7 linked regions of the Xenopus tropicalis genome follow. The protein of the gene in region 6 interacts with the protein of the main gene of each other region in a pairwise test. Links are inferred from orthologs where the notes say so. Each region holds a gene or a part of one and is shown on either strand. Other genes may lie near its edges.

The links.
Region 1: the proteins of meox2 (region 6) and chic2 interact in binary tests that used the Homo sapiens proteins (3 or more experiments, as listed by UniProt). The two-hybrid records come from large-scale screens. The link is inferred for Xenopus tropicalis from reciprocal best matches to the Homo sapiens genes MEOX2 and CHIC2.
Region 2: the proteins of meox2 (region 6) and mapkbp1 interact in binary tests that used the Homo sapiens proteins (3 or more experiments, as listed by UniProt). The two-hybrid records come from large-scale screens. The link is inferred for Xenopus tropicalis from reciprocal best matches to the Homo sapiens genes MEOX2 and MAPKBP1.
Region 3: the proteins of meox2 (region 6) and shfl interact in binary tests that used the Homo sapiens proteins (3 or more experiments, as listed by UniProt). The two-hybrid records come from large-scale screens. The link is inferred for Xenopus tropicalis from reciprocal best matches to the Homo sapiens genes MEOX2 and SHFL.
Region 4: the proteins of meox2 (region 6) and spry1 interact in binary tests that used the Homo sapiens proteins (3 or more experiments, as listed by UniProt). The two-hybrid records come from large-scale screens. The link is inferred for Xenopus tropicalis from reciprocal best matches to the Homo sapiens genes MEOX2 and SPRY1.
Region 5: the proteins of meox2 (region 6) and syt17 interact in binary tests that used the Homo sapiens proteins (3 or more experiments, as listed by UniProt). The two-hybrid records come from large-scale screens. The link is inferred for Xenopus tropicalis from reciprocal best matches to the Homo sapiens genes MEOX2 and SYT17.
Region 7: the proteins of meox2 (region 6) and hat1 interact in binary tests that used the Homo sapiens proteins (3 or more experiments, as listed by UniProt). The two-hybrid records come from large-scale screens. The link is inferred for Xenopus tropicalis from reciprocal best matches to the Homo sapiens genes MEOX2 and HAT1.

What each region holds. Positions count from the first base shown.
Region 1 is NC_030677.2:39,930,273-39,934,338, forward strand, and holds part of chic2 (cysteine-rich hydrophobic domain-containing protein 2), read right to left. Parts: intron 2,332-4,066; coding exon 2,277-2,331; intron 2,189-2,276; coding exon 2,033-2,188; intron 1-2,032.
Region 2 is NC_030684.2:105,031,336-105,035,401, reverse strand, and holds part of mapkbp1 (mitogen-activated protein kinase-binding protein 1), read left to right. Parts: intron 1-98; coding exon 99-183; intron 184-1,780; coding exon 1,781-2,058; intron 2,059-2,300; coding exon 2,301-3,158; intron 3,159-4,066. UniProt on the Homo sapiens protein: Negative regulator of NOD2 function. It down-regulates NOD2-induced processes such as activation of NF-kappa-B signaling, IL8 secretion and antibacterial response. Involved in JNK signaling pathway.
Region 3 is NC_030679.2:136,816,077-136,820,935, forward strand, and holds the start of shfl (shiftless antiviral inhibitor of ribosomal frameshifting protein homolog), read right to left. Parts: upstream 3,121-4,859; 5' UTR 3,008-3,120; coding exon 2,978-3,007; intron 1-2,977.
Region 4 is NC_030677.2:65,663,470-65,668,297, reverse strand, and holds the start of spry1 (protein sprouty homolog 1), read left to right. Parts: upstream 1-1,903; 5' UTR 1,904-2,445; coding exon of another isoform or gene 2,446-2,459; intron 2,460-2,479; exon of another isoform or gene 2,480-3,440; intron 3,441-4,432; coding exon of another isoform or gene 4,433-4,487; coding exon 4,488-4,828. UniProt on the Homo sapiens protein: Inhibits fibroblast growth factor (FGF)-induced retinal lens fiber differentiation, probably by inhibiting FGF-mediated phosphorylation of ERK1/2. Inhibits TGFB-induced epithelial-to-mesenchymal transition in lens epithelial cells.
Region 5 is NC_030685.2:32,711,223-32,715,288, forward strand, and holds part of syt17 (synaptotagmin-17), read right to left. Parts: intron 3,978-4,066; coding exon 3,358-3,977; intron 1-3,357. UniProt on the Homo sapiens protein: Plays a role in dendrite formation by melanocytes.
Region 6 is NC_030682.2:36,890,889-36,895,737, forward strand, and holds the start of meox2 (homeobox protein MOX-2), read right to left. Parts: upstream 3,001-4,849; 5' UTR 2,851-3,000; coding exon 2,346-2,850; intron 1-2,345. UniProt on the Homo sapiens protein: Mesodermal transcription factor that plays a key role in somitogenesis and somitogenesis and limb muscle differentiation. Required during limb development for normal appendicular muscle formation and for the normal regulation of myogenic genes.
Region 7 is NC_030685.2:67,594,611-67,598,676, reverse strand, and holds part of hat1 (histone acetyltransferase type B catalytic subunit), read left to right. Parts: intron 1-1,478; coding exon 1,479-1,554; intron 1,555-2,950; coding exon 2,951-3,071; intron 3,072-4,066. UniProt on the Homo sapiens protein: Histone acetyltransferase that plays a role in different biological processes including cell cycle progression, glucose metabolism, histone production or DNA damage repair. Coordinates histone production and acetylation via H4 promoter binding.

The sequences.
Region 1 (4,066 bases), on a different chromosome or scaffold from region 6:
TGTTTATCCCTTTCTCTTCTCTAGGTCACATTCAACAATATAAAAAGAATTCAGTTATCCTCCAGGCCTATTAATCAAGCTTGCAACACAGGAGTTACTATGGGGGTCTAAGCCTGTTTTTGTATAGGGCTTTTATTAATGGTTTGGAGAAGTATAGATTTAAACTAGTTACTCACTTTATCCATTAAAAGACTATTCTTTTTTGTCTGTTGAATAGATACCCCCAATGGCCAGTGGACAGAAATCTCATTTAAAATTCATGGTTATACATATTTCATCTGAAGTGATTATCATTATCACATGCAAAGCAAATGCTTTCCTAACTCAAAGGCAAAAATAGTTCCCGGCTTTCCTTATGTGAAACTGTACGTCAAGTAGGCAAAGGGAAACTTAAAATTAACTTTTAGCACAGACCAATTCAATGCCCTTAGCAGTAGTGCTACTCAACAGTATGGAATTTTCTAAGAAATTATATGAAAAAAACCATAATAAAAAGACAAATATTAAGCTTTATACTGAATGCTAAGCTAGGGCCACTGACCTCGGAAAACAGCATTTAAAATTCCAGATTAAAGGGGCAATGAGCTGAAGGGCAAATAATTCAAAACATAAGAAATTACAAAAAAGAAGCCAAATACGAAGTTGCTTATCCCTCATGGTGATATGGTGGGATGTTTGATTTATTACACCCGCTGCCATGAAACCAATATGTTGATTAGGCACCTGGAAATGTAGAATCCATGATGCCCACTTATTAGTATCAGACTTCCTGCAACAAATTCTACATTTCTGGGTGGCTCTTTGGTTGCACTTAAAATGTTAAAGGGGAAGTATAACAAAAAGTCTTTATAGGTGAAGAAAAAAAAATGGTATTTACTGGGAGGTCAAACTGTTAAGACAAATGTGTGTGTATCTTACTTTTACTTTACAAAAAAAAATGCTAAAAATCTAATTATACAGCACAATATGGGCTTCTGAGTTTCTAATAGTTCCCATTTACTCTTGATTATAAGATAATAAAAGTTAAGTTTAACATAAATTTCTGGTTTAACATAACAGCAAGGTGGCTGACAGTTCTTATAAGCAGTATTCTCATACGTGAACTTCCTTGAATCTGTAATTATGTTTTAAACCATCTACCTTAGAGATTACCAGCCACATGGGAAAGCTTTGTAAAGAGTTAAGGCCTCCCTTAAGGGCCCTTACACATGGGCATTTTGCCCTGTGTTCCCCTGCATTCCACCACATATTGTTGCACAAGTGTTTAATAGCCTGGGGGCAGACAATAAATCATCTGGAAATGCTTCCTTATTTATTTAAATGGCAATTGCTTAGACCCACATGTAAAAGGAACAGCCATTTATACATAAGAGATATGGAGTGTTTTGTCCACCATACATTTTACCTGCCCAAACATGCAGCATCCATTGTCCCCTAAGAGAACACGTTTTAAGTGTTACAGAAAGTGAATAACACATTAGTGGAAAGCTAATTAAGTAAGGCTGCCAGAACTCTATATACCTAGTGGAAATCTTCATATGAGCCATATTGCATATAAGTTAATTCTCTTGAAATTATAAATAAGCAAAATGTATACTTCTACAAAGACCCAAATGGTGTTAGCTCTAGTAAAATTCAAAATAAGATGTGCACAATGGTTCGTAACCTTTTTTCCCAACCTCATTACAGGAATCATCTCTGCAGAAATGTAACACCTTTTAACTAAAAGCTATTTAACCCATTTACTAATTGTAATTAGGGGTAATATGCACTGCCTCTCAGTGGCACCACAAGCTAGGAGTATGAGATTGTAATAACAAATATAAAGAAAAGGAAAGTACATCAGCTATAAGCAAATTTTGGGTATGAAAGAAAATACATTGAAGATAGGTATGAAGAGAAATATGCCCTCTTTAAAAGCATATTACAACAAAGCCTTGTGGAATAAGAGAATTATTAATAAGAACACAGTAGCACATTACATGATTAAGCTGTAAGACAAAATCAAGAAGCCAAGAATTGGTCAACTTACTCTTTTACTTAGACAAACAACTGGCCACATACTGCAGCCCAATGTACAGCAACAGCAAAGGCATCCACAAAGTAACCAGCGGACATTAATTGGAAGATTCTTCTTAAGACAACTGTTGACTCTGTTAATACTAGATTTAAATTCTTCAGGTGCTACCTGGAAAGGGGGGAAAATGTTACTAAGTATGAGAACAGTATTAAAGAAAGCAAATTGTTTGTCTTTAAACTTTGTTTTTGACACATACCTTGCCAGTTAAGGAAGAAGGGAATTCTGCTTCAAACTTGTTGCTAAGACCAAAACTAAAGAAAAAAGAAAATCATTAGAGATCATACTGCTGTACTTCAACTAATACATTAAAATGTAAACATTTTAATTGTGGCCAAAATGTAAATACTGAAATCTGATTTCATGATTAAGATCATTACTTCGTCATCAGTGTTTAACTGGTTAACCATCATTTTTGTTATATGTTAAGGGGTAGGGTCATTACAGTTTTCGACCAATATTTTATACCATTTCATTTTTGCAAACCAAAGTGAACAGGGTGGTTATTTTCTGGATATTCAGGCTACCTCAACTTGGCATAAGGGCTCTGGCACGCAGGGAGATTAGTCGCCCGCAACAAATTTCCCCGAAATGCCATCCCACCGGCAGACAACATATTGATTAGATCCATGTGACACATAGCAGATAGAAGACTTTTTAAAAAAAGGGGAGTTGGTAAGCTTAACTACTCTGACAACTTTTCCCAAACTGTGGTGCTGCCTTCCTTTGGTGGTCAAAGTGTGCTTAGTGGGGCCAGCCTGAAAGCCAGTTAGCAACAGATTTGGGTATGCCTGGAAGTACAGCTTAGCGGTCAGTTATATTAATAGGAGGGCCTGGCCAAATACGCCCAACAACCTCTGCACTACAGGAATATGGTATGTCTAGAAACTATATTCTGATCAATAAAGTACAGGTATGGGATCAGTTATCCAGAAACCCGTTATCCAGAAAGTTCCTTATTATAGAAAGGCCATTTCCCATAGACTCCATTATAAGCAAATAATTCTAATTTTTAAAAATGATTTCTTTTTTCTCTTTAATAATAAAACAGTACCTTGTACTTGATCCCAACTAAGATATAATTAATCCTTATTGGAGGGAAAACAATCCTATTGGGTTTATTTAAAGCTTAAATTATTTTTAGTAGACTTAAGATATGGAGATCCAAGGTATGAAAAGACCCCTTATCCGGAAACCCCAGGTCCTGAGTATTCTGGATAACAGGTCCCATACCTGTACTTGCACTGCAGCAAAAATAGAAATGTATTACAAGGATGTACACTAATGTTTGGATGAGAGTCTTTTTTTGTCATCTAAGATATGTTTGATACATTAAGTCTAACAGCACGTCTGCCATTTGGTTGCCACCTGTATGTACTCTTGGGAAGAACAAGTTGAAAGAATGCGAGAAATAATTTGAAATACCTCCTCATTATAGACAATTGAGATAATGGCGCCTATGAGATGATCTTCCCAAGAAAGTATGCAGCATTAAAATGCCATCAGTGCTTTTAGCATAAAAATAATCTATGCACAAGTTTTCGTTAAAGTAAAAAAAAAAAAAAAAATTTATGGCTAGAAATAATATATATATATATATATATATATATATATATAATGAACTTACTGGACCAACCCAAAGGTTTAGCAGCCCTATAACAGTTATATTGTATGCCTTCAAGGTTATCCACAACTATTGAGTGCTATTCTGATATCTACCACTTTAAGCAATACAGGTGTCAGGAAGCTGCTATCTTGCTCCCTTCCCATTGTTCTGCTGATCGGCTGCTGGGAGGGGGTTATATCACTCCAACTTGCAGCTCAGCAGTAAAGTGTGACTGAAGTTTATCAGAGCACAGGTCACATGGCTGTGGCATTCTGGGAAATGAAGAACACCGCTAGCCCTATATGAAAATATCAAAAAAATCTGTGCTTTTAAAAAACAGTTTTCAATGCAGGATTCTGCTGGAGAGGCTCAATTAACTATTG
Region 2 (4,066 bases), on a different chromosome or scaffold from region 6:
ATATATTTTATATTTTATATATTTTATATATGTAAGGTAATGGAAAAAATATCATTTTGCACCATCGATAGCTGACCTTTAGATCTCTGCATCCACAGATGGACCTCTGCTAACTTCCGAGAGGAATGATTTCTCCAGCATATCCTCCCGCTTCCTTGCAAAGGCTCAGCCACCAGCACTCGGGTTTGTGTTCCTTTCCTCTATTCTTTCAGTTGCTCTTGTGAATTAAGAAAGGAGGTTTACAGCTCCAAAATGACTGGTTGATCCAAATATCAAAATGAAGATGTGGTGGCATTAAAGCAGATCTCTGTCCCAATCCAGTTTTTTTTTTTTTTTATTTTATTATTATTTCTGCATAATTAGAGAAAATGTAGTTTTAAGCAATGTTACACTATACATTGCACATCCCCATCAGTTACTTATAACTGTACAGCAGTATTTGTTTATCCCTTTCTGTGTTTTTGGCCTGATTCTTAACAGTTACAGGTGTCAGGACCCCTTCAGGCCTTATAATCAGCTTTTGTGTGCCAGAGCCAGGAGTGCCAAGCATGTAGCAGCCAAACAGATGATGCTTTTCATAGCAGTTACAATACACATACATTAAACATTTTCATTTCAAGTTATCTTGGAATGTTGCTTAGAATCACACTTTTCTTTATTATGCAAACACTTAGGGGCACATTTACTAACCCACGAACGGGCCGAATGCGTCCGATTGCGTTTTTTTCGTAATGATCGGTAATTTTGCGATTTTTTTTTCGGCGTCTTTACGATTTTTGTGTAAAAACGCGAGTTTTTCGGCGTCTTTACGATTTTTGCGTAAAAACGCGAGTTTTTCGTAGCCATTACGAAAGTTGTGCAAAGTCGCGATTTTTTCGTAGCGTTAAAACTTGCGCGAAACGTCGCGCCTTTTAAGTTTTAACGCTACGAAAAAGGTGCGACTTTGCGCGCAAGTGTTAACGCTACAAAAAATCGCGACTTTGCGCAACTTTCGTAATGGCTACGAAAAACTCGCGTTTTTACGCAAAAATCGCAAAGACGCCGAAAAACTCGCGTTTTTACGCAAAAATCGTAAAGACGCCGAAAAAATCGCAAAAAAATACGAAAAAGTCGCAAAATGTTCGTTTCCAATTCGGATTCGAAATCGTGTCTTAGTAAATCAGCCCCTTAGAATTACTTTCATTTTTGGGTGGAGGACTCTTTTAAAACCAGAGAAGTGTTTTATGTATATTAGAAAGTTTGAAAGATGCACTTGTACTTGCCTATAATATAATATTTATACAGCAGGGAAACCAAGTATTGAACACGTCAACATTTTTCCCAGGAAAGATTTCTAATGGGGCTATTGACATGAAATTTATACCACATGTCAATAACAACCCAAGTAATCCACACATTCAAAGAAATAAAAAATCACACCTGAGCAATGCATGTGACTAGTTTCTCCATACAGGAGACGCCTTGAAGCTGTCATTACCAACAAAGGCTTTCCTACGAAGTATTAAATATATTTCAGAAAGCGTGTTCAATGCTTTATCCTTGTGTCATTCCACTTTATTACACATAACTTAATTTATGGATTTATTTGTTTTGATTTCTTTGTATGTGTGGATTACTTGGGTTATTGCCAATATCTGTTGTGAATTTCATGTCAGTAGCCCCAACAGAAATTTATTTACCGAGAAAAAGGATGTGTTCAATACTTGTTTTATGCTTATAAATCTGTGGTGTGTGTGTTTGTACACTATAGTTTACTTTTGACTTTTGTCTCTCCCTCCAGCAGGCATCAATCTATTGAACCCTCAGTGCCTGATTCAGAGTTCAGCCCTGCATTATTTCAGCCATCACAGGAGCTTCCCACACTGATTAATGGAACTGACCATCAGCCCAAAAGTGCCATTATGTTGGATCACGATTTTGCCAGCCCTCAAAAATTTAACTACTTCCAAAGGAAGAGAAAGCACCTCCAAGAATATGGGCATATAGGTAAAGGCGGGCCTTTTTCCTCATTGATGCAAATACGGAAAACACAGTCAGTCCATGATCTTGTACATGAAGGTAATGTCAAGACTGCTTCATGAACAGTCACACTTTCATTAATTATGGGGTGAAACTAGAAGTGATTTTATCCACTAGCACATTAGCGGGGAATAACTTCAGAATTCCTTTCATAGTCATGACTGGTAGACAGAGTTCAGTTATATAGAACTGGGATAAAATGCCCCTCTTGTCACATTGCCTCCAATGTACTTACACTCTCTAATCTATTAAATTAATACTTCATTTAAATTCTCCTTCAGGTGATAAAACAGCAGCCAATGGAGGTGTTGTAAAAATGCGTTCCCAAGTACAGACAGCAGCTGAGAGAGAAGAGAAGGCCATTCGTCGTCGAACTTTGCCATCCAACCTAATAAAAGTGGAAAATATTACCTCTGGTACACCCCATGCAAAGGATGGAAAATCTGCTAAAGGCAGATCCTACATGAATCCAACCACAAGCTCCATGGCTAAAATTTCTCGGAGTATGTCGGTGGGAGAAAATCTAGATATTGGAGATAATCAGGACACGTCTTTGAGTTCAGATGGAAAAGGCAATTGTGAATCCGAGACAGGGGCTGTCACCAGTCTCATAGAGACAGAGAAGAACAGGCAAACCGCTAAGGAGACTGTCATTATCAAACCACATTTACAGCCTGTCACAAACTGTTCCTCAACCAAGACTTTTCAGGCCAAGAATCGAGCACACCTCACTCTAGATATTGCTAAACCATTGCCAGACCGACCCCTCCTGTCCTTTAATAAAGGCAAAGGGCAACTGGAGATGGAGTCTCCAAGATCACCAGCAAATAGCTGCAAAGTCAAAAATTCCTTCACAGAGTTAACTTGTAGGAATGAGAACCATTCATCTGGTGCTGTAGAAAAAATCAGTCCATCGGAGGACTATGGCTGTGGTAAAAGCAAAGATGATGATGTTAAGGCAAACTCTAAACCAAATCTATCTCAAGAAGCAGCGGAGTTATTTTCTGATCTGTTAAAACCCATTCACAGAGGCAGAGCTTTTACTATTGGCCATACTCCCGACCATCACTCAGGACTTTGTTCTGAACCCATCAGACCTAGATCTCCCTCTCTTAATGCAGCACCAACACAAAATTCAGGTGGGCATAAGCACCCACCACTGGTGGTTCCACCCTTTCTGTCTCCTATCTGTGTGAGTCACCTTCTAGCTCCATCTCATCTTTCTCCATCCAGTCTCTGGCCTATCCCGCTTTCTCCTCGTTTCATAAGTCAAGCCCAGAATGGTGAGACCTTTGTTTCTTGCCTTTTTCTTTCATATGTTGCATGTATGTGCATGGGAGTGCTGCATGGTGTAGTTTAATTCAAAGTAGGCACAAGTGTTGAGCTTAATACATACATGCATAACATGTTCTATTCATTCCTATTTCTCAAATGGTGAATTCTAATTTTCACCCATTGAAAAATAAGCTTCTAAATATCCCCTAAGAATTAATAGAACATGGGTGAGTTTTTGTGTATTAATCTCTAAACTCACATTTTGATACATCCGCCTCTACGTGTGTAACTGGAAAATACCCCTATCAACAGATCTCTTGTATATTTATTTGTTTCGAAGGAAGATTATAGCAATGAGTTTTTGGCAGGCAAATACACTTTATTAATGGTCTGCCAGGCGGCACAATATTCCTGCTGAATTGTGCTTAGGACAAGGATCAACATTGCTGTGCTAGATACTGGGATAGCACAATATCCCCTCCTTATCTTGTGATAAACATATACCATTCCATTACTGGCTGTGTGGCAAACCCCCCAAACAATGTAACACCTAGTCATGGAGATGTCATGTAAGGGACACATCTCCTCACAGGAAGGCTGTAGGATATACCATAGCTTGTAGTCATCCTGGAAATAACTCTGACAAGCCTGACAAGACATTTACAGAGAGTACATTATTCCATACAGTATTACATTTTTCTTACATTTTTGTGTGTACCAGACCACTGGTCAGTTTGTCTTCAGCTATCAACAGTTCTTAGCATCAGAGAAC
Region 3 (4,859 bases), on a different chromosome or scaffold from region 6:
AAGGTGAACTACCCCTTTAATGTTTTGTTCTGCTTAGGACTCCTAAGGTGTGCGGCTTCACACTCACAGGCCACAAGCATTCTGGGTAACTAATTCCATACCTGTAGCTGACAGAACAAAGTGTTACATATATATATATATATTTACTTGGGTTAAGTGCAAGGGTAATTTTAATCATCACCCTTTGTGCCCTTTGTATCCCAGAGATCAATACTACACAAACAGAGTTCTGCGCTGTCAGGCAGTTTGCACTGGCCGTGACCACAATGTTTATTTGCTTTCAACTGGATTTGCTCCAGTGCCAAAAACATGACAGGCTGTTTGCATGTCACCCAGGGCACGGCAGTCACAAAAGAAAACCACAGCTCAGTATGTGGAGCTCTGAGTGTTTCCTTACACAAACAGCTCCCATGCTGGATCATATAGGGGAGGCCTGTACAGCCGGTTTGGAGAAACAGCACCCATGAACCTCGGTAGCACTTTCCCTATGGTGGTGGTTCCCATACTGGGCAGCTGGAGGGGCAGTTATAGCCAAGGCACAAGGAGCATTTGCTCCCTTCCCCACATCCAATGGGTTGGGGGGCAACATGTTGCCCACGAGCCACTGGTTGGGGATCACTGCCCTACAGTAACCAATGCTGGGCAGTACAATACCCTGATTGTAACCAACCCCTACAGTAACCAATGCTGGGCAGTACAATACCCTGATAATAACCAACCCCTACAGTAACCAATGCTGTGCAGTACAATACCCTGATAATAACCAACCCCTACAGTAACCAATGCTGGGCAGTACAATACCCTGATAATAACCAACCCCTACAGTAACCAATGCTGGGCAGTACAATACCCTGATAATAACCAACCCCTACAGTAACCAATGCTGGGCAGTACAATACCCTGATAATAACCAACCCCTACAGTAACCAATGCTGGGCAGTACAATACCCTGATGATAACCAACCCCCTACTGTAACCATTGCTGGGCAGTACAATACCCTGATTGTAACCAACCCCTACAGTAACCAATGCTGGGCAGTACAATACCCTGATAATAACCAACCCCTACAGTAACCAATGCTGGGCAGTACAATACCCTGATTGTAACCAACCCCTACAGTAACCAATGCTGGGCAGTACAATACCCTGATAATAACCAACCCCCTACTGTAACCAATGCTGGGCAGTACAATACCCTGATTGACAATCAGGGTATTGTACTGCCCAGCATTGGTTACTGTAGGGGTTGGTTACAATCAGTGATTGTAACCAACCCCTACAGTAACCAATGCTGGGCAGTACAATACCCTGATAATAACCAACCCCTACAGTAACCAATGCTGGGCAGTACAATACCCTCATTGTAACCAACCCCTACAGTAACCAATGCTGGGCAGTACTATACCCTGATAATAACCAACCCCTACAGTAACCAATGCTGGGCAGTACTATACCCTGATAATAACCAACCCCTACAGTAACCAATGCTGGGCAGTACAATACCCTGATAATAACCAACCCCTACAGTAACCAATGCTGGGCAGTACAATACCCTGATAATAACCAACCCCTACAGTAACCAATGCTGGGCAGTACAATACCCTGATAATAACCAACCCCTACAGTAACCAATGCTGGGCAGTACAATACCCTGATAATAACGGGCAGTACAATACCCTGATTGTAACAAACCCATACAGTAACCAATGCTGGGCAGTACAATACCCTGATAATAACCCACCCCTACAGTAACCAATGCTGGGCAGTACAATACCCTGATAATAACCAACCCCTACAGTAACCAATGCTGGGCAGTACAATACCCTGATAATAACCAACCCCTACAGTAACCAATGCTGGGCAGTACAATACCCTGATAATAACCAACCCCTACAGTAACCAATGCTGGGCAGTACAATACCCTGATAATAACCAACCCCTACAGTAACCAATGCTGGGCAGTACAATACCCTGATAATAACCAACCCCTACAGTAACCAATGCTGGGCAGTACAATACCCTGATAATAACCAACCCCTACAGTAACCAATGCTGGGCAGTACAATACCCTGATAATAACCAACCCCTACAGTAACCAATGCTGGGCAGTACTATACCCTGATAATAACCAACCCCTACAGTAACCAATGCTGGGCAGTACTATACCCTGATAATAACCAACCCCTACAGTAACCAATGCTGGGCAGTACAATACCCTGATAATAACCAACCCCTACAGTAACCAATGCTGGGCAGAACAATACCCTGATAATAACCAACCCCTACAGTAACCAATGCTGGGCAGAACAATACCCTGATAATAACCAACCCCTACAGTAACCAATGCTGGGCAGTACAATACCCTGATAATAACCAACCCCTACAGTAACCAATGCTGGGCAGTACAATACCCTGATAATAACCAACCCCTACAGTAACCAATGCTGGGCAGTACAATACCCTGATAATAACCAACCCCTACAGTAACCAATGCTGGGCAGTACAATACCCTGATAATAACCAACCCCCTACAGTAACCAATGCTGGGCAGAACAATACCCTGATAATAACCAACCCCTACAGTAACCAATGCTGGGATATTACCCACCCCCAGCTTATTATATTTGCCTGATTACAATCTTACAGTTCTTGCATCTGATTGTCAGCTCTACAGCCCAGGGATTGGGTAAGTGCTGTACAGTGAATATATCAGCACTATACAAATAAACATGAGTAAGAAGCCAGGATTCTGGGCTGCCAGCCTGTGTAGCTTAAGCCTCAGTATAATATATATATATATATAACTATGTCTGACACATACGATCTGACACCTGTAACATATCAGCTCTGGGTGTTGTGAAACCACAACTCTCACCGCCGCGCAAGTCGTGCTTCCCGGGGGCAGGCGGGGAGTTATAGTTCCGTGTGTTCCCCTGCAGCACAGACAGACCCCCAGCCCAGCACATGTATCACTCGCCTCCAGCTCCTCCTGCACATTCCCATCCATGCCGGCGGCTCGGTTCGGCACGTAGGAGCCCAGCTTGTAAGAGTCCAACTGGATCGCCTCCCCAGCACCGGCTCCCAAGGGCCACGGCTACTCTTTTTTTATCCTCTACTTTTGTTCCGGGTCCGCCTGCGGGAGGAGGGACAGAGGAGGGGAGTACGGTAGGGTGCGCGGCTAATGCAGTATTTACGGTAAGGAGAATTCGCTATCGGATTCAGAGAGACGCAGCGTGTAATTGTAGATCGCTTGTAATGGGTGCCGGATAGGGGAGCCTGGGGGGCTCCGGGTTATTACTAATACATGTAAATGGGAACTGTTAGCAGAATGATAGCAACACTGAAACCTGTAACCCTGTAATATAATAACGTACATAACTCATGTATATATATATATAAGTTTATTTATAAAGCGCTAGGAGGGTGCGCAGCGCAGTACAGTCTTACATTATACACACAGGGAGGGCAAGTGTTATAATAAGTACAATAAATAAGTATAAGTACACAGAGATTGCGTGCAATGTGGTATAAGATACATTAGGAAGGAGGTCTCTGGCCCATAGAGCTTACAATCTAATCTATATTACCAATATATCTCTAGACAGGTTATTCATTTGCCCAAACGTAGGTGGTGTGGGGGGGGTGAGTTTTTTGTTTGGGGGGGCTAAAGATGGCCGCACATATACAGTAATGTTACTGACTAGTGATGAGCGAATCCGTTTCGCTTCACCGGCAAATTCGCAAAACGTTAGCAAAATTCGCAAAACGTCTTTGTCGAGTGATTTTTTTGTTGTCCGCGTCTTTTTTTTGTCGGGCGCGCCCATTTTTTCGCAACCGGGCCCTTTTTTTAAGCATCTGCGCCTTTCTTTTGACACGACCGCGCCTATCTTGTCGCAACCATGCCCTTTTTTTAAGCATTCGCGCCTTTCTTTTGACACAACCGTGCCTATCTTGCCGCAACCACACCCCATTTTAAAGCGACCACGCCCTTTTTTGTCAGCCACTCCTATTTTGACACAACCACAAAAAAATTTTTGCCGCAGCGAATTTTCTCTGAAGTTTCGCAAAACAATTCGCCAATGGCGAAATACGTAAATTGGCTGTGAATTGATGCCTGGCGAAAAAAGTCGCTCATCACTATTACTGACATACGCAGAGCAGTCAGCGCACCGGCGAATATGTCCCCAATATGTCACGCACGCCCCCAGAAGTGACGCCACGCGCACGTGAAGAAAAGCCGCCGAAGCAGAAAAATTCTACCCGCGTGAAATTCACTGCAGGACATTGATGAGAGATGTGAGATTTTGGAAAAATGGGGGAGAGCCTTCCAAATCAGATAATTTCCAAAGAGATAGGGGGGTGGGGGGGGGTGGCAGCTCTGCTAATAAAGGGTGTAACAGAGTATAATTATAATTAATGTAATTAACTGGGTCTTTTACGTGCAACCGTATCTTACTAAACGCAGTGCTGGCTGGGGAAGTGAAAGAAGCCATTTTGAAACGCCTGTCATTGTTGGCAGTTACTTGCTTTGACTGAGACGCTTCTTCAGGAAATCTCTCTTTTTCTCTCTCTCTCTCACACTTCCGGAATCCTGTTACATGTCAGATCTGTACCTTTCATTTAAGCTCTGATTGGCTAAGGGTGAAGACACACGGAGCTACTAGTATCAGCTACTTGTCACGGCTACTAAAACAGACACTGATCATTTACTGATAACTGTCTCTACGTGTGTTTAGGGCTCTGGCACACGGGGGAGATTAGTCGCCCGCGATAAAACTCCCTGTTCGCGGGCGACTAATCTCCCCGAGTTGCCTACCCCTGCCATCCCACCGGCGAACATGTAAGTCGCCGGCGGGATG
Region 4 (4,828 bases), on a different chromosome or scaffold from region 6:
GCCCCCTTCCGTGCAAACACCGTTGGTGGCAATAGGGTTAGTTTGCATTGGGTGCTTTGATTTTAGGAAATGATAATGGCAGGCAGCTCTCCCACATAGCCCCAGGCTATAAAGGGGGGATGGGAAGCTTGTCTGTCTGTCTCTAGGAACTCAAACAACAATGCAAAGGATACAGCTGCTTCTCTGCAAACAAATGTGTGTGGATACATATATATATATATATATATATAAGTGTTTATTTCACTTTATATATCTATATACACACACACACGCATACATACATACATACATACAACACAAAGTATGTACCCCCTATTGTAAGCTATAAGGATATTATAAATCACCAACTAGTTCCATGACCAAATACAGTTGCTGGGAAAGATACTGCTACTAACTAGCCTTATATAAATTGCAACAAGCAGCCGTATTGCATTAACAACACTGCTATACATTTATATACATACATACATACACACACACACACACACAATTCTAGAAATACAATGTAGTTAGACTGTATCCGTTGACCCTTTCAGTCCTGGCCATACATCAAAGCAGTCATGCCAATGGGAATGGGCGGAGGGATGGTAGTGGCAATGGTAGGACGGACCTACTACTATGAAATCCCAGGAAGGAATGTGTATTTGCAGGAAACTCAAGCTCCCCCCTGGGGGGGACAGGTCACAGTTCTTCCTTCCCTAAGGAAATAAACGTGAAGCTGCCAAGATCACACAGGAGACAAGTGCAGGCACATCAGCGCGGAGCTGCGCATCCAACACTCCCCGGGTACACACGCAAGCTATGCGCGCCCCTCTCATTAACTCTCTGCGCCCCTATACACAGCCCTTATGTACCTTATACACAGCCCTTATATACCTTATACACGGCCCTTATATACCTTATACACGTCCCTTATATACCTTATACAAAGCCCTTATATACCTTATGCACGGCCCTTATATACCTTATACACGGCCCTTATATACCTTATACACGTCCCTTATATACCTTATACACGGCCCTTATATACCTTATGCACGGCCCTTATATACCTTATACACGGCCCTTATATACCTTATGCACGGCCCTTATATACCTTATACACGGCCCTTATATACCTTATACACAGCCCTTACTACTTTCCTGCAATTTTGCATTTATTCAGCCTTATCACAGAGGCGCAAAATGCGTTGCTGCCACTAAGCCGATCTATAATGGTATTGCGCTACAGTTTCTTGAGAATAAAACTCCAGGAGCTAATAAAGAATTCATAGAAATTAAATTACAAACTACAGCCTATTGAGTTTGAAAATGCTATGTGCACTGGATCCCCAAAATCTCAAGGGGCCTCTGGGAAAAAAAAAACAATTAATTAAAAATTAATTCAGGGATGACGAACCTTCGAGTACTATTACTGACTGCCCTTCAAGTTATTGCCCCAGCCTTCCTGCAGACCTTGGGTCCCTTGATTTGTAAGTGCCACCCTGCGCTGTTAGTAAATGACCGAAGTCACGCAAAGTACTGCTGACAGGGCCATTACAGGGCTGTTTGGGGCGAGTTCCAATCTAAAAGCCTACCCATCACCCCATAAGTGGGCACATTTTTCGCCCGGGTGAACAACAGTGACAGCGACCTGACGCACGTGAAATCTCCGCTAAAATCCACCTTGCAGCGATTTCGCTCTGAGCTACCGCAGCCGCCACTGCCCCGCCCCTCCCACTTCTAATCCAATCAGCGCCGCCACGGCAGCTGAAGGTTTGGTGTTTTTTCCCCTACACTATTCCGGAGAGCCAATGAGAAGGCCGCTGTGGAACAAACCCAGCGTTCCAGGAATCCATTCATACAGAGGCAGGAGAGCGCAAGGCGTGGAAGGTTGTTCCCTGTGGAGCTGTGAGTGATCGCTGCGAGGGTGACACCCTCATTCATCACCATTTATTCTCTGCCCATCGCTTCTCATGTGGATTTCCTATCCGTGCTGAGGATTTAAGCGGCGCTCGCACACCGACCCGAGGAATATATGCGTGGGGCCGCGGCTTTCTGTTTAAAGGACTCTTGATAACGTTAGCGTTTTGCGATAAGAAAAGAATCGCTGGAGTTTACTTGTGGCTGAAATAAAGGAGTTATTATAAGGAAAAAGTGTTGTAGTCCTTGTGCCTCCTCCCATCGCATGCAGCAACACGGAGCCTACGGTGCCTGCCTGCTGGATCGCTCCTACCCCTGACAGAGGTGCAATTGCCTTTCCTGCCCACCTTGGCGTTTGTGGATTTATTTGTTTCCAAGGACTACCCTGGCCCTAATTACTGTGGCCCCCGGAGGGAAAGCTGCTACAATCAGATACAGTAGTGCCAGCCCTGGGGATTTACTGGAGACATGTCCCATGCTTAAGCCCCCCAGTTCCGATCGGATTTGCCGCAGCCTGGAGTTGGACGTGTTATTGCTTGGTGCATGCTTGCACAGAGGTAAGTGTCTGTATATCTGGATAATACTCTGCTCCTGGTGCAAGGCCATAAGGCAAGGATCTTTTACTGAAACTCCCAATATGCCAGCAGGCTTGCCCAAGTGAGGGATAGAGTGTATTTGCCCCATGACCCACTATCTTATGTGCCCCTTGGATACAAATATCCAATCGTGTAATATCTTTTCAGAAGGATGCACAACCAACCTGCGGCTGTGCTGAACTGCAGCTCTCAGAATGGCACCTACAACCCACACTTGCAGTTGTTGTTCTACAACAGCTGGAGGGATGCAGTTTTGATACCCCCCAGCTGCTTTACGCCTACATATTGCTGCAGTGTAACATATCAGCAGGCCATGGGTCAGAGTAGGGGCCTGCAGGGTTGAAGTTGCTTCAATTCGAGTTGGGTGTCCCTGGCACAGAAACGTGTAAATAAACTGTTTACGCAGACCTAGAGCTAGGTGCCCCTACTTCTTTCAAACGCAGGATGGGGACACCTAGTGGTAGGTGCAGGTAGTCGGACTAGTGTAGGGTAGGGGCTATTTATGTTAATTCTTTGATTGGTTAAATCGATCCGATGCCACTTTACTGCCAGAAGAGTGAGTGTAGGGGCAGTGAAGAGGCGATAAAACAGATTCGCAGAGAAATCTCTATGTGGGAACGCTGGCACACCTGGTATGGGGTGCTGAAACCCGTAAGGGGTGCCTTGTTCTGGGGCTCCGAGCTGGAGCCGATGGGAAAGGGTGCTGCGGTTGGAATGTGCGGAAAGTCCGCCCCCCTGCGGCAATCAGCGCCTCTCCTCCTCCTCCTTCTCACAGTCACGGTTTGTTTTTCATTCATAACTTTTTCCTTCCTTTCCCGTCTCTCGCTCTCTGATCATTCGGATTCTCTCTCTGTAGCCCTCCCCACCCCAATCCATCTCCATAATTTGCCCATTCCGTCTCTTCCGATTGTCGCACGATTAGTTATCCATTTGGCACACACGGTACAGTTATTTTATAGGCATTTTCTAAGCCTCAGATCGTGCGATTTTCTTTCTTTTCTTCAGTGAGAGCGTTTTAGCTTGCTTGCCTTGTGCAGCTGGAGGTGTGACACCAATGGGCTGTAGGATGTGTTAGTGTGCCAGGGCAGTGTGGGCATGCACCTTTGCACTGCCTGGCTCTGGAGGTTGGGTGCAGCTGGTATCACCCCTCTTTTTAGCATCTGCCACTCATCTGGGCTTGGGAATATATATTCAGCTTTAAAGATCATTTTCTCAGCTTGCCTTAAAAAACTTGTGCCTAGGGAATCACTGGAACAGATAAGTAGGAGGTCAGAACTTGCAGCACAGACTGATTAGTTAGTTAGTTTGTCTCTTATTTCTCTCCTTTCTTCCTTTGTTTTGGTCACCAAGAACTGCCCTTAGGTAAATATTATTTGACAGGGAGGCATCACATTTATTTATTTCTCCATGGCAAAACTCTGGGAGTTAAATTTGCTTTAAACAAGAATAAATTAAGATAGAGCCCCTTTATCAGAATTATACGCTGAAAGACTGAAGCCCTTTTAGTATGGTGAATTTCTTTTAAAGTTATTACTGGGGTAAAAGTCTTCTCTTTTGGAAATATATCATTTCCAGTCATAGGATAGGTTATCATTACCAAGTAATCACTTTGTTCAGATGTATAGTAGCTAAACGAGAAATCCATTCTGTGACTTCTTGAAGTGCTACGGTATCTGGAGGCTTTGTGTTTTTCTTGAACCAGTTGCATCATGCAGAAGCAGAATGACTTTCATACATGGCAAAACATGATTTATTAAATTGTAATGGGAGTATATTAGATATGGGGGGGAAATGCAGTGATCTGCCTTGCTTGTAGTTTATCTTGTAACTGTCATCTGACATTTTTTGCTGTGATGATTTGAATTTGTATCTTATATTATCTCCAAAACTCCGTTCTAAATTATTTATCTTTTGTTGTGTGTTTTGATCGGCAGGTTTTCAGATGCATGCCAAGTTCACGTTGAATGCCAGAAATCAAGATCACTACAGATGGAGCTACAAAGTCAACATGGCATTGGTGGTTCATTAGTTGTGATACAGCAGCCATCTTTGGACAGCCGGCAACGGTTGGAATATGAACGAGAAGTTCAGCCAGCGGCTATCTTGTCCTTGGATCAGATCAAAGCTCTTCGGAGCAGGAATGAGTACACAGAAGGCCCATCCATGGTAAAAAAGCCTGGACCTAAAACTGTACCAAGGCACATTAAGCAGGAACGGACTCATGAAATCATACCAATCAATGTGAATAATAACAATGAGCACAGGCCCACTCACTGGGCTCACACGGGACACCCACCTAATGGAAGGGCTCCTGGGCTCAGCAGGTCTAC
Region 5 (4,066 bases), on a different chromosome or scaffold from region 6:
AAGTAGGCCAAATGGTTAGGAACAGGAGGGCCCAATAACAGCTGGCCCCACCAGGAGTTTCCTGGTATCTTGGTGGGCTAGTCCAACACTGTTTACACCTTCCTAATGTAAAGTGCTGTGGAATATATTGGTGCTTTATAAATGCTTGTTTATAATAATAATAGGACCTTATTAATGCAAAAGTTGATATTAATAGAACCTTGCCCCATTTGTGAGATATATGGGATTCATCCAATACAGCACCTTTTTAGCATATTATTGCTATATTATACCTTTTGTTCATCACTTAAAGAATAGTCCACTGAACGTATCCTATATTAGAAAAGACTAATTTCCTGAATACAGAAAACCACAAGGTATTGTTTAAAAATTAATTGCCTGAACTCAATGCTGTTAGCTGATAGACTGTACATGTTGTACAATGTTCAGACCAATGAGAAAATGGAATGTAATAAAGAAGGGAAGAATGCCACCATTACACTGATCAAAGTAAAAGAAATGGCAATAATGGCAAGGAACTGACTTGCCTGGAGTTTCGAACAGAAGGATTGTTTTATGCTCTTGTTATAGCTGGGACATATCTACTGGATATGGTTTCCTCCTGCTTTCTGTCATAATGTGTATCATTCAATCTAGAATTTTAGTCCCTAAATTATCGATAAGGTAAGTGTATTGCTGCTGCTAAGAGTTCTAAAGATGTAGTCACTCAGGCCTGCCCCCTCTCTTTATTTAGCCTTGCAGTACCATTAGCAAATCTACAATCAATGCATGCCTTGAAAGTCAATAAGAAAAAGTACATTGGTACAGATAAGACATTAACAATTTATTTTCCTAAAAAAATTATATTTCATATGTTATATTTAAAAATGCAGGTTGGATGAAGGCTATAAGAAACACTATAGGAAGTAGGAAAACAAAGGTTTGTTTTATTGGGTCCATTATTAAAATGATATTTTCAGTTAGAGTTTCTTTCATGTATTCAAACAAGATTTACCAATTGTTGTATTTTTTTTTCTCCCCACTACCCTCCCTCCCCCGCTCATGCCTAGGTAAATATGAGCTATGCACACTGGGGGGATGGCAGTGGTCGAGTGGCTGGGGCCCCTAATCTAGTGGTGTGGGGAGCCCTTGGGGTGGCACAATATTACACTTCCATATTGTTTAAGTGAGTCTATGTCCATTTTTTTATCCATATAACATTATCATCTTTATAATTCTCAGAGGGTCTGATGTTATTTCTGACTATAGTGTCATGAACACTAGTTATTAAACCCCACTCTAGATAAAGCTTATGGACTATAATAAATATGCCCCTCAACATACAGCTGAAATATTTACTGTACAGGTATAGGACCCATTATCCAGAATGAATGGGATCAAGGGTATTCCGGATAAGGGGTCTTTCTGTAATTTGGATCTCCACACCTAAAGTCTACTAAAAAATCAAATAAACATTAATTAAACTCAATGGGATTGTTTTGCATCCAATAAGAATTATTTATATCTTAGTTGGGATCAATTATAAGGTACTGTTTTATTACTTGTACAATCAGTTTTAAAATTCAGAATTATTTGATTAAAATGGAGTCTATGGGAGATGGGCTTTCCGTAATTTGGAGCTTTCTGGATAACAGGTTTCCGGATAAGGGATCTCATACCTTTATTATGCATTAAGGAGCTGTGTGGTACCACCATAACAAATATTCATTCTTCCATCACAGGTAGATAATGGAGGTAAAAAATGTATTCCTTTGCGGCTTTATGACCATAAATGATCAAAGTAGTTGCCAACAGTGTACAAGGCATCCCATAAATCTGTCTGGTAAGACAGTGAAGCCATAGTTGAAAAAGCAAAGCAGATTATGCATTATGTTTGTGGTACAACAAAACAGAAAAAGGAGTCTACAGCAAATGCATAAGGCTTAGTTGGGTGTAAAGCCAATACAGCAATGCAAACACATTTCTGCATACTGTAAAGCATATTGATAACATCACATTTTTCCTATATTTTTCTCAATGGTGGAAAAATGGTGGACAGAAATATGTTAAACATAGGCGAAAATATGTTAAATGTATCCAAGAAACATATTAAATGTAGCCAAGGGGGCCGATTCATTAAAACATGTTTGAATCCCGAATGGGAAAAATTTGGATTGGATACGATAATTTTTGAAGATCCCAAATATCACGAAAATGCTTACAAAAAATCGTATTAGTCACGATAATATCGTATTGGCGATGCGAAAACCACCAAATTTTTGTACTGAACGATTGTAAACAGTGGCAGAAACTTTCCGAATTTTTCGCACAAGCATACGAAAAAGTCACGCGGGCGTGAAAAAAAAAATCGGGAAAATGCGCAAGGAGCTTTCGTGTCTTACTAAATCTGCCCCAAGGTGTTAATGCACCTGAGTAGCCTACACAAAGACAAGACCAGATCAAGTCTAAAATGGAACAAATGCTAAATGGTAATTTCAAGATTCCAATTTGTAGCATTTATTTACTTAATTGTTAAAGAAGGATCTTCGGGAATGTAACATATGTCGGTAACTTAAAAAACTTTAACAAATTTTAGCTTTGCATTAAATGTTGCCTTTGTGCAACAGAAAAATACCATTTGTGAACCCTTTGCATGTCTTGCAACTGTAAGTTTGCAATTGCGGAATTTTTTTTGTTTGCATAAATGCGCAGTGTATGTTATAAAACATTTGAACCTATTTTGTGTTAAGATTCACGCCATCTTCAAGCAGGTATTTAATATTTGCAATGTAGTACATGTTTAGTTTAGTATTACATTGCGAGCAGCGCTAAATATTTGCAAAGATGCCATTTTAACCACCGCTTTTATTACAATCCCCCTAAAGAAGGTGTGGCCTTTATAAATTCCATGATAGAGACCAAAGTCTTTATGAGCCCCTGCGGAGTTTTGCTACCAAATATCTCTGCTTCCAGAAATGACTTATGTGGATCCAAAGTCTAAGTTCCGAATTATGGAAAGGCCATCTCAAATAGACTCCATTTTAATCAAATAATTCACATTTTTAAAAATGGTTTCCTTTTTCTCTGTAATAATAAAAAAGTACCTTGTACTTGATCCCAACTAAGATATAATTAATCCTTATTGGAGCCAAAACAATCCTATTGGGTTTAAATACGATTTAATTAATTTTTTTAGCAGATTTAAGGTAGAAGATCCGAATTACGGAAAACCCCAGGTCCCGAGCATTCTGGATAACGGGTCCCATACCTGTACAATTACAATCATGCATTTACCCTTAATAACATTCTGCATTCATAACAAGGTACTGTATTTGTTGCAAGAATGAAAAGCAATAATTATAATTGGACAAAGTTTACCTGAGAGCTTGGAATGATGGCTTTCCACCAGTGTCCTCCTTTAACAAGGTCAACTTCATTCAGTGGCATTGCAACTTTTCCAATAACACAATGTCGTGAAAATTTATCAAAATCCACTATGGTTAACAGCAGAGTTCTTCTTTGGGCTTCTAAAAATTGGATTTCAAAGGTGTACCTCTCCTCAAATACTGGGTTCTGGGTTTTACGTTTGACGCCTGTTTGCTTTGAGTTTTTTTGGTCTGGTAATAGACAGATCTTTACATATGGATTTGAATGAGCCATGTCCTGTCTTGAACCATCATAAGATATTGGCGGTGGCAAGTCTCTGGCTTCTATCACCCTGACATTTAGATAGTTGTGCAGCAGATCATACTGAGTACTAAAATGCAGCATACCTAACTGGTACTTTGTTAGAATTTCATCATCAGTCAGTGAGTCTACATCATCATTACTAGAATCAAGGGAGTATAGGCGGGGTTCAAATTTTCTAAAATAGTCCTCTGGTGTATATGATTTTCGTAGTACCGTTGGTTGGACTATTTCTTTTTTGGCTCCTAATGCACCAAATTCTATGGGTTTAATATCAATTAACGGAGAGCTTGGCCTTCTTGACTCTAAACCTAGGAGTAAACAACAAGTACAAAGATTTAATTACAATGCTATCAAGATATCGGTTCCAAAATGCCTACTATTGCTAAAGATGATGTAG
Region 6 (4,849 bases):
GTGGTCTGCTGAAGGGTATCACTAGCCAAAGTAGGCTTAATTATAAGTACCAGCTTTCTAACATCGCTTGTGAAATTCTCATCAAATCCCCCCCCCCCCCACCCCACAAAAGGTAACTTGAGTGATAGACGAGGCTTAAAAGATACAGGAAAATAGTGTTACAGGACTGACATCCAACCTGGGGCCCTCCTGCTCTTGATAAACTACAGCATTCTCGTCACAGCCTAAGGCTAAAGGCTGATGATTGCAGTTCAGCAACCCCTAGACGCCCATAGTTTAGATTTTTCTATGTCGAAATATGCACATATAATGGATAGGACACGGTCCGGGCCATTAACTTTGACTCTAGATTGTATAATTTGGATAGGTATACTGTTTCACAAAGCCATCCTTTCATTTCTCCAGAAACCAAATGCCCTTAAAACAATTGTTTGTGAAGTGACTCTAAAAGAAAGAACAGCAGTTTCTCAAATTCGCCAGGACCCAGTTATTGGATACACCGTGGTTAATGAAGCTAGTTTGTCATTTTTGCTCTGTGATTAGGTATAGATTTCCTGGTAATTTATTTTCTTTAAACGCTTGCCAATGTTATCTTCCCTAAACAGACAAAACAGAAGGGGGGGGAGAGGTTTAAAAGCATTGCAAGCCTAGACAGACTAATTAAACACTGGAATAATAACTTTTGAAAAGTTGTCTTGTTTAAAGCCCCAAGCCTGGAAGAAAAAATAAGGTCAAACATATGTCACGAATTACTCATTTGTCATTCATGTCTTATAATTATTGAATAACCATTCATCCCAATCAGAATATCTCATAAGACTTAATTAGGAATGGTAAGCAGGTCATCTCCAATTATGACTTCGCTTTCACTTATTCCACTGACCACTTGTCTGATTAGTGAGTTAATATAGTTGCACTTATCTCTCGCCATCATCTAATAGCAGGATAAAGCTACTCCACTTTATATATATAAATATATATATGATAAGCATCGAAATCACCAATGAACTGGAACATATAATACATATTTCAGTTATGTTTATATTCAGTGTGATATACTATGTTCATTTCTTATGCTACTGATATGCAAGTATCACGTATATTGTATTTCTTTTACTAGAATTTGCCATTTTAAATGGAAATGGAAAAGAGGATTTTAGTGTTCATGTCTGTTTGGGGTATTTCAGGTATGACGGAAGGTGTCTGTTATGAATCATTTGACTTTTTCAGTTCTAGATATTGATTGGTAGTTATTCATATCACTATTGATATGCAGCGGATTAAAAATGTATATATTATTATGGTCTGCCAGAGATTCTGATCAGTGAAAGTGATGTAATAGGCTCAAAAGAACTGATTTCACTGAAGTGGCTTATGTGACTGAATTAAAGCAAATATTACCCATCACTTTGCACTTTGTTAATTAAACTCTTAATTTGATGCAGACTGTGTATATGGCTTTCCCAGAGGAGGTGTTAGCTGATAATATAATTAACACCTTTCTGCAGTTGCTGGGACGGGCAAAAAAGGCTGCCCTCCCTGGGATGAAATCTCTCTATTTTATTCCTGCAGGAAGGGGGAATGGGCAGTCTAAATGTGCCAATTGTCTTTTTATCTGCCATAAAATTGCATTTGTAATAGTTTGGCTGCTGAGAGAAACAGGAGTCAACAAGTGATCTCCATTTCTTGTTATAATACTGCAGTGATACTGGATCAGGCTGAATAAGGATGGAGTGCAGCACGGGTTTCTGAAGGATTGTGTCAATAAATAGATTGTAATTTCAAATGAAAAAATGATACTTGGATTCAATCTTGCTTATTAAAGGAATTTGATATTCTTTTGACACTGACAGGATTGTTACATAGGAATACACCAGGAAAGACTTGAAAAGAGGGAACTATTTCTGCCCGTTCGTATTGTAATGTAATATACAAGTATTTCCTGTTTAAATAGAAACTTTTTACTTATAATATGTCTTGCATAGCGTTTATAACATTCCTATAGTGTTAGCAAGCTGCACATGTCTGAAATATTGTATACATGCTAGTTAGCAAGTGTCTAACTAGTACTTTTTACACTGCTAAATGCATTTGCCAGTGAGTACGAACACAAAGCTTTGAGCAACAGAAAAACCCCTCTCTGCTCAATTTGAACTGTCAGAAGAAGCTGCCGTATGCATGGATGCTAATGGCATATCCTAGGCATACAGTTGCTTAGGTTTGCACCACTGCTGTGCCACTTTCTGCAATGCAGTGCTAATCCAATACAAGGCATCACAATTACCAGCTAATATATATTTCCTTTTTGCTGCATGCTCAGACATTGTAAACACAAATATCCTTACCTGAACTGTCACTTTTTCTTTTGCCAGTCCTCTTTTCTGCTTCTGCCGGGGAGAGGGTCTGTCTGCCATAGTCCCCTGTCACACAAGCTGCACCCGTTGAGCTGTTAGTGCCCAGGCTGGATGTGTTTGAACACAAAATAGAGGGGCTGCCACTTAGATCTGGAGGTCCAGATTCCTGCTGAAGGCAAAGGCTATGTCTGGTGGAGGCAGGAGGAGATGACATCTGAGGAATGTGCCAATTTGATTGCAAGGTCTGGTGCTGTTGTTGCTGGTGATGATGATGATGGTGATGATGGTGATGATGTCCTCTGTGATGCTGGCTCCCAAACATGCCCTCCTCATTGGGATAGCCAGTTAATATGCAAGAGGACGAAGAAGAGGATAAATCAGGATAGGACATGTGGTCGGATCTTCCATGGAGGGCAAGAGAAGACTGGGCAAAGGGGTGTAAGCCCTGAGAGGTGGCATGGGGGCTGCGCAGGCAGCCAAACAGTGTGTGTTCCATGGCATACAAGTTTCAAGTTGCAGGCTTGAGATTCTGGCAGGATTAAACTCCACAACGCTGTCACTTTTCACTGTAAAATGATATTTTTCCCAAACAGTAACGGCACACTTTCAGTACAGATCAGATAATCCAGGTCTTCAGCCTGGTGGCCAGTCTCCTGTGCTTAAACAGTTTGCTCTGACCAAGATGAGCTTTTGCAGAGCTGCTCAGATGTCAAGAGTAGGAGAGGTTAAAGCCAACAGAAGGTGGTCCCAAGGAGCTGCTTTAATGGGGGAACAGCTAAGAGAGGATATAAATAGTGTGTAATGTGAGCTGGGGGCTGGCTTAGCAACACAGTACTGACCACAAACTCTCTCCAAAACTTTAGCACTCACAGATCCTTCCAAGTTGCGACAGCATCACTGCACTGTCTATGTACAACTTAAACCGGTTCTGCCCATTGCTAATATGGATATAGAGAAACTGCACGCAGGTCTTAGTAATTCATATACTGACACAATGACAAAAAGCTCATTCTACCGTAAGAAATCAATTGGAAAGTATTGTGCCATGCCAAGCAATACATGCCATTTTATTTCTTTTTTAGTGTTCTGTGTAGTGAATGTGATACAATATAAATAGCTTTAACTAAGGCACCATTAACCTACTGTTACTGAATCTATAACTCCCAGAATCCCCTGCCAGCTGCACTAGGTTATAACTTTTTACCAACATAGGACATATATGTGCAGTTTTATACAGCGGGAAGTAAGCAGTATACATTGTTCTCTTTTGGCGAGAGTAACGCAGAACCTGAGTAATGTTCTCCTCAAATTGTTTTCAGAAATAGGAAGATGTAACATCCTCTTAGTAAATAGGAAACATGTGTGTTTTCCCAACTAAAAGTCACACCTGTGTTTTTCAGATGTTTGTCCCTAAAATCTGCTCCAGGTACTGCTTACTGCACAGTAACACAATATTGTTCTATTCATCAGCATAAATACTCATTAACCCCTTCACCTATGGCACAGAAGCCTAGTTTGTTGTACCAGCATAGAATCTTTTATCTAAAATGCTTGGGATTTGAGGTTTTCCAGATAAGGGATCTTTCTGTAATTTGAATCTCCACACCTCAAGCCTGCTAAAAATCATTTAAATGTCAAATAAATCCAAAAGGATTGTTTTGCTTCCAATATGGATTCACACAGCTTAGGTACCATCAAGTACAAGGCACTGTTTGATTATTACAGAGAATGAATAAATCACTTTTAAAAATTAGAATTATTTGCTTAAAGTGCAGTCTATGAGAGGTGGCCTTCTCATCATTCAGAGCATTCTGTATAATGGGTTTCTGGATAAGAGATCCCATTTAAGCAATTCACTGTCTGTAAAAGACTATACAATCCACCTGTATAGTAAGTATACCAATTTATGTAGTGTAGTGTTTTATTTTATATTAATTTTAGCAATTTTATAATGAGTTTTAAACCCTGTAATCCAATTGCTCAGTTACCTTGTGCGTTGCCAAAAAGTTATAATGTAAGTTGCTATATCTAAAATATATTTGAGACGGGCTTTCTACATGACCTAGCTCTTCTTAGGACTGTATTTTAACCCATCAATGTATTCAGGGGAATTAAGAGTGCTTGTGCTGTGCTTCTACTTTTGAGAGAATTGTACATGGCCATGGGAGATATCAGAATACTAGAGGAGGTCTTTGCTAACCAAATACAGATCAAAGATGAACTTAATTAGGTGCCGGGGGGGAGTCACAGTCTATGTAGGCTCTGGAGCAGGACAGGTGTCCTCTGTTAGTTTGATACCACCTGTGCACATTATTCAGCCCCTATGTCTTCAAATGAAATTCAGCGTACAATCACCCACAAAGCCCAAAGAGATATCAGACACATTCATTCAGCATTTAAAACAATAGTTCAGTAAGTCTTGTATTCCTTATGTAACACAACTTTTTTGGTATAATTTTTCAAATGATACAGTATGAGGACCAACTGGCATATGG
Region 7 (4,066 bases), on a different chromosome or scaffold from region 6:
TCTACTTATAATTTTCAGCGGGTCTAACTAAAAAAAAGGGGGGTACTATTCTTTTGAGCGCTAAGCCACGATCTTGCCTCCTGTCCCTAGAATCCCCTGAGGTTCCCCTGCAACACACACAGTTGAGTAAAATCAGATCTTGGAAAGTAAAATCCAAACACTTAGGCTAATGTCCCACAGGGATATATAGTCACTGCGATTTTTAAAAAGCGTGTTGCTCGTCTTTTCCTAACAAAAATTACTAGAGATTTCTACAACTGAGCAATTCTATTTCCCACAAATCCAGCTGTCATATATCCCACAATTAGAAATTACATTAATTTACTTTCAGCGTTTCCAGTAGCTATGAATGACAATGCTTTCTTTGTAAAATCAGTCAAAAAAGGGTCTCATAGCGATTCGGAGCTATAAACGATTTGAAGTAGTATTGTCGGTTTAGGTACTGGTGATTTATATTCTTCTCTATGTAGAGACAAAACGAGCGACTTGTCGCTGGAACTCGCTTTTTAAAAAACGCAGCAACTAATCTTTCCGTGGGACATTAGCCTTACTGTGGTGTGCATATACATAGCCCAGAGTTGTTACAAGTGATCATTCAATACTCAATAGAATTGTACCCTGGCTGGAGCGTTTTTCAGCAAAGAGGAGAGGTGGCCTGGTGAGTGAGGTTAGTGATTACAATCACTGGGAAGTACCTAACAAATTGGTACCAGTGATCAATCCTTTCCTTGTGCTTTGGTAAGTATCAGGCCTAATTTGGAACCATTCCTGGTCTATGTGTTGGCTCACCTGAACCACAGGGGGTAATTTATTATTAACCATACAGAACAGAAATCTTGAAACATATAGCTGTGGCTGTGCTAAGCAAAAGGTATATGTGTGTATATATATATATATATATATATATATATATATATATACACAAAAATGTTCCAAATGTAATAACTGCATGTGAGTTTTGGCAAATGGTAAATTGGAAAATGCTATACAATATTCCAGAAGTCACTTAAATCTCTACTGTGAAAGAACTTCAACTATCAACCACATTATAAAGCCTAAAAAATTGGTACTGTGCTATAGTCCACTAATTTCTGTCAATGCATCCCTGTCCACAATAGCTGGAAATAATTCATGCTAAAAAAGTTATTCATATTCATTTGTTTTAAGGGCCCTGAAAAAATAGTATAAAATTAAAGAGATGCTACTTTTAGGTCCTGCATCACAGTTTTGTGCAGGAAAATCCTAGATTTACTATAACAGCTCTAAAATTGTCTTTCTGTAAACTATCGAGGTTTAATAAACTTTGATGTGCAACCTTGCAAGAAAATCAAAACTGATGCCTCTATTTCCAATTTGGTTAAACCCTAGAAAATTCTTTTGTTTTGATCCTGAAAACCTCAATCAGTGTTTTATTGTTCCCAGATGTACAGGTGGTGTTTCATGTCCTGATTATATCTGCTGTTTTGTTTCCTGTTCAGTACGCTTTCCAGAAGACATCGAAGATGAGAGCATGACATTTAACCCAGAGTACAGCCACCAGATTTTTGGTGACGAGTAAGTATATTTTTCTGCATTATCACTTAGTTACCATAAAGCATACCTACACATCATATGTTCCATAAAGTTGTTATCCAGCGGAGTACCGGTATTTGCACCTTCATAGGAAATACAGTTATCCTATTTAATTTCTTCTGGCAGAGTAAAAGATTTGCAACTTTATCTACAAGATTTAGCTAAATGCCTAAAAAAACAACACACAGGCACAGCAGCTCTATCACAGGAACTGTTTGTGCATTCAAACTAGGGATGCACCAAATCCACTTTTTTTCGATTTGGCTGAACCCCCAAACCCTTTGTAAAGGATTCAGCCGAATACTGATCCGAATCTGAATCCTAATTAGCATATGCTAATTGGGTTTTAGAAGGGTTAAATCTGGGAAAAATTTTCAACTTCCGTGTTTGTGTGACAAAAAGTCATGTGATTTTTCAGTTTGGTTCAGCCAGAGGCATGGATTCGGCCGAATCTAAATCCTGCCGGAAAAGGCCAAATCTTGACCGAATCCTGGATTTGGTGCATCGCTAGTTCAAAGCCCACAGGCAGTCCCCATCTTGGGTCTTGTAAGGCTGTCTTTAGCATACCAGTAGTTCATTGTGGTATGAGCTGATGTGGAGAAGCAGATTTTAGATATTCTCAGAAGTAAATGATAGTAGACCAGAGTATGTGCTGTGAATCAGCAAAAAAGATGTTCAGCTTATGAGGACATATTAAGAGGCACAGATCTTCACTGCTGTAAGCTTGTAGTGGCCTTGGGCTGGTGCAGACTGCCACAAATGGTGTTGCATGTCTAGACCACTTCTTTGTTGGTGCCTTACTTTTTTTTTTAAAGGGTCAGGGGTTATTTTAAGGAATAACTTCTTGTATTATGCAGACCATGATGCTGTGAAACAATGTAAAATAATGAATAATTAAAAACAACATCATGATAAAAATTAACGTGAACGCCATCTTTACCTTGCAAATATTAGGTATAGTGGTTCTCAAAGTTCATGTGAGAAAACCCACCAACATTGAAGAGCTGAAGCTGTTCTGTATGGATGAATGGGCTAAAATTCCTCAGAGCTGATGTGCTCAACGATTACCGCAAACATTTAGTTGCAGTTATTGCTGCACAAGTGGGTCACATCAAATACCGGGAGCACAATTCCCTTATTTTTGCCACAAGCAGATATGTTATTGAATCATATATATTTTTTAATCAATACATGAACAAATATAATAAATTTTTGTTTCACTAGGGTTTCTTTATCAACTTTTAGGACCTGTTTGAAAATCACATGATGTTTTAGGTCACACTCATAAAAAAATATAGAAAAAATTAAAGGCTTCACAAACCTTTAAGCATCCGGCTATTGTATGGAAAGGTTGGTTAACGCAATTTTTTTTTTCCAGAGAGGTAGCCTTTGGATACAAAGGTTTGAAGATCTTGTTGTACTACAGTGCTGGAAACTTATCTAATATGTTTCGGGTGGAGTACAGCTCTAAAGTTGACGATAAGTTTGATTTGGTCCAGGTAAAATGTTTAATATGTTTTTGTGCAGCTTAAATGTTTTATAGTAAAGTGAAGTGCATTGTTAGGATTGCATATATATGGTTTATTTTTATATTTACAGTAACATTGAACTTTTATATATAAGTGACAAAAGGGACACAAACAATGCAACTGTGGCTGTACTGACCATACTCTTTCTGTGTATGCCACTCCAGAATCGGCAGAGATTTCTTAGAAGCAGAGTATATAGTACTCTCTTATAAATCCACCAAAAGATGTCACTTCAGGAGAAAACATAGCTGGTTACATAATGCTGCAGATGTTTGCTGCTCCTGTAATTATGTGGAACATCTTTATGTGGATATCTGATTCTTGTGGAATTCTGTTTGTTTTAATATTTTGCTCTTCCACTGACTTCGACTGATTAGTTAAGGCTTAGACTAATATAGGATCTATTCTAAACTATGATATTTCCTTGTGGGTTTTTATTTTTTGCAGAAAGAGCAGATGCAACTTACCCAGCATAACAGGGGAAATTAGAAAATTGTGTAACAAGTTTAATATTTTAAACAGTAACAACAAAAAATGAAATCTTTTAAAGGAGATCTAAAGCCTAACTAAAGAAGTGTACAATATGTTTTGATGTTCTATATATACTGTATATATAGAAAATAAATATCGCAATATATGGCTGATTAATACTGATTATTAATACATAGCTGCTTAGAAACCAGTGCAGTTAGCATCAGAATAATTTAACTATCAGCCCTGTAGCCTCAGCTTATATGAAAGACAAACCTCATTTTCTGTTTGAAACTTGGGATGACCCCCTATGCTCAGCTTCTCAACAGTGTCATTTTGTGTGAAGTAGCAAAATCATGGTTTTGTTTTAGTGCTGTTTGTGATAACTTAGTTTTAACAATGAGAGGGAAATAACAAAACAAAAACTGTACTACCATGTTAGCTGGTGGCAAAAATAATAAATAAATATAAAAGCATTGCAGAAATGATACATA